Linked DNA regions of Macaca mulatta. The protein of the gene in region 1 binds, or shares a complex with, the protein of each later gene. Links are inferred from orthologs where the notes say so. Each region holds a gene or a part of one and is shown in the gene's direction. Other genes may lie near its edges.

Region 1 (3,569 bases):
CCTCCCAAAGTGCTGGGATTACAGGCATGAGCCACCATGTAATCAGAAATCACCTGGCCGGTGATTTTTTTTTTTCCTTTTTAAGCCTACTACATAGAGTTTACATGGCAAGCCCTCAGAATAGTTCATGTCACAGGGTAAATCCTCTACATAAAGTATGAAACATCGTTTTCATTTTCTTTGTGTGCAGCAGCCCTGCATACGCTGCTTGCTATAAAGATACCCAGGGCAGAGGGTACAAAGAAGAGGCTCTATCGCTACACATTGTAGACTGAAGTTCTGACATCTCTTATGGAGAATGCCAATCGGCATCGTTCCTGGAGGGCAATTAGGTACCATACTTCTACTTTAAACATATATACCTTTTAACTCAGCGATCTCATTGCTAGACATTTTCTCTAGGGGAGTGTCGCAAATGTTTGCCAAAATACCTGTAGAGGGATGTTTTCTTCAACCAGAATGTCTAAGGGAAGATTGAATAAGTGAATTATAGCCCCTCCATCTCTTCAGTAGGGTACTATGCAGCCATTAAAATGGATGAGGTAGATCTGTAGGGCCATACCTAGAAAGGTTTTCAAGTGAAAAAGATACAATAGTGTCCATAATATAATTCCTTTTATATTCATTTACATATAGTTGTCCATATTTTATATGGACTGGTGTGTGTGTGTGTATGATTTTTTTCTATTAGAAGCACACCTATAAATCATGTGTTGGACAGCTGTTCATGGGTACAGATTTGTGTATCTACTCATAGTGGACCTATGCTGTTTCCTTAGCTAAAATGATTTATGGTTTCAGTTAGTGTGGGCACAGCCTGTCCCCCTCCGTTAAACAGTGGACTCGCACCTCCCCGCATCAGGTTCAGTTGTGGAGAGGAGGCTGGGTGCTCTGTCCTGGGCGGCAGCCTCAGCGAGGCTGGGGCTTTCCTAGAGACAAGTGTTTCATGAGGGTAGAGAATATTACTTTGTTCAGCTTCCTGAAGTGGGGAATGTTACTCTAAAAAATGGCGTACCCTTTCCTGGTTTAGGTTCATCTAGAAGAAGGCCAGGATGAATTCAAGAAAGTCTAGATGGATTTAAAAAAAAAAAAAAAATAGATGTATCTAGACAAAGGTTAAAAAATCCTTGGTAGAAGTTTGGGTCACTTTGTTTAATGAACGGGAAGGAATGCCATACTTCATTGATTCTGAAACAGGGATGAGTCTTAAAATCAATGATATGAGAAAATATTGGTTCTTAGTTTTGTTATCAACACACTTTCCATTTTATTCCTTTCTTTTCCTTAGCAATGCAAGTTTCATCTTAATGGTATCGTGTTAGATCCAGTAAAAGCAACAATTTTTAACCCAAGACCTTGTATGGTTGGCCTGCTCAGTACATTTTTTAGTTTGAATTATTAGAGTTTATATACTTCAGAAATGCTTGTGATGGGCTCCAAATCCGTTTATTCTTGTAATTGGTTTAAATGTCCCTCTTAAAATGTGTTTATGTTAGAAGTTTAATATGTTTACTCTTTCATTAGTTCATTGGTATAAACCCTGGCAAGTCTCATAATCTGTAATTAATAGAGATCAAAATATGGTCTTAACTATATTGCAGTAATCTAGTTTTCCCTTCTCTAATAAGAATTCTTACTATTTCCTGGCCTTCTCTGGAAAGGTATTTTTTGTTTGTTTTGGTTTTTGTTTTTGAGACGGAGTCTCACTCTGTTGCCCAGGCTGGAGTGCAGCGGCGTAATCTCGGCTTACTGCAACCTCTGCCTCCTGGGTTCAAGCCATCCTCCTGCCTCAGCCTCCAGATATGCACTTTAATGGCTGCATAGTTCCCATAATTCACTTATCCACTCTTCTCTTGGTTTGCTTCCACGTTGTTATTATAGATGAGTTTGAGCAAACTCTTTGTGGTGGGGTTCCTAAAAATGTATAGTGTCAGGCTTTTTCCTTTGAGGAAAAATAGTTGTGGTGTTTTGCCCAAATTCAGCTGTGTGACTGTTAGGAGCCACCCATCAGCTTCATAGGAGTCAGGGGTTTTCACCTCTAGGGACCCTTCAAATATCACAATAAGCCCATCTGTGTACCATGAAGAGGGTTATTAAATAGTTCATCTCATGCCTCAGGCTCCTCTAGAGAAGGCTTCAACCTGCTTTCCAGCACCTTCTCCTATCCCTGGGCTGTACTGGCTTCTTGGTAGATTGTCTGAATATCATCAGCATCTCCTGGAGGGAGAGGGAGAGCGGACAGTGGACTTTTGTTCTAATTTAGCCTTTCCTTTATTTGGGACACAGGGTCAGTGAAGCTAGAGGAAGAGAAGTTATTGATGCTTCTGTGATTTTCTGCCAGGCTTACAGAACAACTGTGTCTCAAAGATGGGCATGTCTCCTGTTTTTTGTTTTATTTTGTTTTATTTTTAAAGCCTGGAATGAAGATTGTTATTCTTGAGGGTGATAACAGGTTTAGTTTCTGTCTCTGTCACTAGTCACTGGTCTCTCCAATGAAATATATGTAAAGCTTTCAGCACTGTGGCTGGCACCAAGCAAACAATAAATGATAGATGCCAGCTTACAGTTGCCACCTTCTCATAGAAGGCCTCCTTCCTCATTCAGCTTTTTGCTTGTTCTCCAGAGAATCACATTTTGGAAGATGTGAACAAATGTGTCATTGCTCTCCAGGAGAAGGATGTGGATGGCCTGGACCGCACAGCTGGTGCAATTCGAGGCCGGGCAGCCCGGGTCATTCACGTAGTCACCTCAGAGATGGACAACTATGAGCCTGGAGTCTACACAGAGAAGGTTCTGGAAGCCACTAAGCTTCTCTCCAACACAGGTACGGGAACTCTAGCTTTTCAGTGCTCGCACACACTGCAACCTGAGTAGGGCAGGCCACCCGATTAGCCCAGCCCTGTGGTGAGGAAGGAGGAGTCGGGAACTCAGATTTGGTCTCATGGCACATTGGGCTCCTGAGAAGTTGGTCATAGCCAAATTCAGGCCTCACAAGCATATTTTCTTCATGTGTATCTCATGAGTAATCATGGGACTAATTCTAAACACACTATTTAAGATGAATTTCTGAGTTTAACCTCAGGTTAAACTATTAACCTGAGGTCCTATTCTTAAGCAAGGCTTCAAGTTAGTCTCACTTCCAAGTTCTCAACCATCCAATCCCTCAACCATCCAATCCCTCTGTTGCAGAGAAAAAGATGATTTGAGTTGTTGAGTTGTTGTAAAATACTGCATTTATTTCAACCATAAATACTCCTCACATAGATAGAAGCAGAGGCTCTTCATCATAAGCCTCACCTCTTTCTGTCTAGCTGAGTGATTCAGGGAGGGTCAGGGGAATGATGCTGCCTGCATACCAGGACATCTGCTGTGCCCCTTTCTCCACAGTCATGCCACGTTTTACTGAGCAAGTAGAGGCGGCCGTGGAAGCCCTCAGCTCGGACCCTGCCCAGCCAATGGATGAGAATGAGTTTATCGATGCCTCCCGCCTGGTATATGATGGTATCCGGGACATCAGGAAAGCAGTGCTGATGATAAGGGTGAGTAACTGCATTTCAGACTTAACAGCT
Region 2 (3,569 bases), on another chromosome or scaffold:
CAAAACAAGTAGCCCCTGGGCCCTAGGCTCAGTTTTTCTTGGGGAGGGTGTTAGGCTGTTATCATATTGCTGTGAAGACATACCTGAGACTGGGTAATTTATAAAGAAAAGAGGTTTAATTGGCTCATGGTTCTATAGGCTTTACAGGAAGCCTGGTGCTGGCACCGACCAGCTTCTAGGAAGGCCTCAGGAAGTCTATGATCATGGCGGAAGGACAAGGGGGAGCAGGCATGTCGCTTGGTGACAGCAAGAGCATGCAAGATACAGGGTGTGGGTGGGCGAGAATGAGGCACGAGAGAGGTAAGAGGGCCCGCACGCTTTTAAATGACCAGATCCCATGTGAACTCAGGGCCAGAGCTTCCTTATCACCAAGGGGATGGCCAGAGCTATTTACGAGGGATCTGCCCACATGATCCAAACACTTCCCACCAGGCCCCACCTCCAACACTGGGGATCACATTTCAACATGAGATTTGGGTGGGGACAAATCTCCAAACTATATCGGGGAGTCACCCAAGATATGTGCAATTCTCCAAAGTGACTTAAGCTGGAATCAAGAAGCCAAATCATATTGACATAGAAGCACTTCATAATGGTCACATGAGCTTACATTTTTGACTGCTGTATGCCAGAAACTGTGCTAAGAACTTTTACATGCATTTTTTTCATTTTTGATTATTGAAACTACGACATGATTTCTGTTTTACAGATGGGAAAACTGAGCTCTAGGGGAAGACAGGGCATTCCTGTTTACTTGGAGTCAGGGGTTCCTATGCTCAGCCCAATTGACACTGGGCCAGATGATTATTTGGAGTGGGGGCTACTCTGTGTGCTGCGGGATATTCACTAGCATCCCTGGCCTCTGCCCAGTAGATGTCAGTAGCGCCCCTCAGCTGTGACAACCAAAAGTGTCACCAGACATTGCCAAATGTCCCTCGGGAGAAGAATCACCTTTGGGTAAGAAGTCTGCACCCAAGGTTTTCACACCATGTTCAGGATTCTAGAGAGAAGGTGAGCAGGTAGGCTTTGGCCTCACCCTCCTCATCTTACCTTATCCAAGTACAGAAGTAACTGCAGTGACCCTTTAAAAACGTTGTATGTCAGGGTCCACGTGGGATTTCCCAGGCTGCAAGCCTCCCAGCCTCTAAGAAAGTGTTGAAACCCACTGTGTAAGATGATTTGGGATAGATGCTTCACCTAAGGCATGTGAGATGGCTAAGAGATAAAATAAGAATCACTCACGATCTATTTCCAATATTTTATTTTTTACTATTCCATATGTATTTTTAAAAAAGTAAATATCCACCATATTTCCTTCTTTCTCCTGACTCTCTCAGTGAGCCCTTTCTTGACTACTGAGTTAAAACCCTTCCACTTCTTTCCTGGGACACACTCTAGCCCTTTTGTGCTTTCTTCTGCTTAGTAGTGTTCTACTTAATCAATTAGCTTTATTTATTTTATAAGTCCTCCTACACACACACACACACACACACACACACACACACACACTCAGCTCTCAGCTCCATCAAGGACAGAATTTTTGCCCGTCTTATTCACAGCATCTGAAATGGAATGTGGCACACAGAAGCTGTTGTTGAATAAATGATGCAAACAATTATTTTTTAAAAGGTGTCATTTAATTAGAAAAAAAAACCTGTATAAACCAAAGTGAAATGCTTGCAAACCAAAGCACCTCACCAGAAGTATATAATAACTACAAAATAATATTATGCTTGAACCTTGTTTCAAAATCTTTTCCTGACTTGGTAAAAACCAATGCTCTAAAAATACGCTGGAAAAAAATATACCGTGTTATTTTGAAGTGCTTGTCTAGAAACATTGTCTCCAAAAATATTGAATAACAAGCTATTTCGAAGATCTACATGTGTTAGAAAAATGATCACATTAATCTGAATAACCGCAAGTGTCCTATTTTAGGGGAAGAGCTAGGATTTTTAGAGAGCATAAACTAGGATTGCGTATTGTTATTTTTAAAATTCTTAGAAAAAATAGGGCATTGAGTTGGATTTAAGAGTACTTTAAAAATTATTTAGCAAGTCACAGGTAGGAGGGGCAGATATTCCAACAGATGCACTTTCTGCTATAACAGGCAGGTTGCAAATCCATTAGGGCAGGTTTAGCAGCATGAGGAATATCCAGGGTATTGTGCAGGTTCAGCAGCATGAGGAATATCCAGGACGTTGTGATGAGGAAATTTTCTTTCTCCTTCTCTCTCTCGCTCGCTCTCTGCGTCTCTCCCTTCTTCCTCTCTGCTTGCCTTTTCAATTATGTTTTTGTCTCCATGACATGCACATGGTGATTGCCTCTTTCAGTATAAGATTCAGATTCCTGAAGGCCGAGTCAGCAAGGGCGTGGTGCGTCTCCTGGTTCAAGATCGAGATTCTCCATTTACATCAGCTTGGAGAGCAAATTTCAACATATTGCATGGCAACGAAGAAGGACATTTTGACATTTTGACTGACCCTGAGACCAACGAAGGGATATTAAATGTTATCAAGGTAACACCATATTAGTGATGTACCAACCAGGTGGTGGCAGACGCTGAGGCCTCTGCTGTAGGATCACTCAGAATGAACTAGGAGCTAACGCCCGTGGATGCTGGGTGCTGAGACCATTACGTACCATGTGTCACCAGGCAAGGAAGGTAGGGTTTCAGTGCCACTTCTGTGTATGGGCTGAGGACTCCTCCTACCAAAATAATATCAATAATAAAACTTATTCTGATATGACTTAATACTTCACCATTTAATTTTTTGTTGTTGTAGGCATAACATAATAGATTTACATAGGCCTTAAAATGATTATTCTTTTTCAGATGTGATTTAAAAAATGAAACTATTTTCTTTGACACTAAAAGTTCTTTCTTTTCATCTGAATTTTCAATGTTTAAGACTTTTAAAGTTTAAAACAAATGGGAGTGCATCTATGTGGCCCCTAAGAGTATGGAGAGCCTCTAGCACTGTGCCTAATGGAGAAGCTGGCCTGGAAGAAAGTATTAATATTACCTTCTCATTTACTGATTAGGAAACCAAAGGCCAGAGGGGTTAGGTCCTTTACACAAAGCCACACAGCTTGAATGGTGGAGTGGAGGATCCCACTGGGGTAGTCTGACCCCAGTGCCTCTAGTCTTCATTGCTCACAACCAGACCTAGAGTGACCAGGGCCTGTAGTGCAGTGCAGTGCAGGTGAGTCACCTGGGCACAAGGCAGACCTGAATCAGCAGGTCTGGTGCAGGGCCCAAGATTCGCCTGCCCATTTGACCAACGCCCAGGGGATGCTGATGGCCTGCGGACCATGCTATGAATAGCAAGGCTCTGTAGACATTGCACCAGATGCCTGGGGTTGAATTTTCAAAATATTCCCAGCCTTTTAATCCTTTTAAGTCAACTGACCACTTTGTACCCTGAATAACTATGATCATTAATATCTATATTTCCCTAAGTTCCCCTGATTTTTTTTGCAGCATGGTTGTCTCATTAATGTTTCATTAGGCTATGGTTTTTGTTGCATTTTTCATTACCCTCTGAAGGATGGTGGCTCTTTTCAAC

Evidence for each region.
Region 2: CTNNA1 (region 1) and CDH26 share a complex: the UniProt entries of both Homo sapiens proteins name them as parts of the cadherin:catenin adhesion complex. The link is inferred for Macaca mulatta from reciprocal best matches to the Homo sapiens genes CTNNA1 and CDH26.

Annotation. Positions count from the first base shown.
Region 1 is NC_133411.1:147,788,427-147,791,995, forward strand, and holds part of CTNNA1 (catenin alpha-1), read left to right. Parts: intron 1-2,623; coding exon 2,624-2,824; intron 2,825-3,387; coding exon 3,388-3,539; intron 3,540-3,569. UniProt on the Homo sapiens protein: Associates with the cytoplasmic domain of a variety of cadherins. The association of catenins to cadherins produces a complex which is linked to the actin filament network, and which seems to be of primary importance for cadherins cell-adhesion properties.
Region 2 is NC_133415.1:112,774,711-112,778,279, forward strand, and holds part of CDH26 (cadherin-like protein 26), read left to right. Parts: intron 1-2,333; coding exon 2,334-2,519; intron 2,520-3,569. UniProt on the Homo sapiens protein: Cadherins are calcium-dependent cell adhesion proteins. They preferentially interact with themselves in a homophilic manner in connecting cells; cadherins may thus contribute to the sorting of heterogeneous cell types.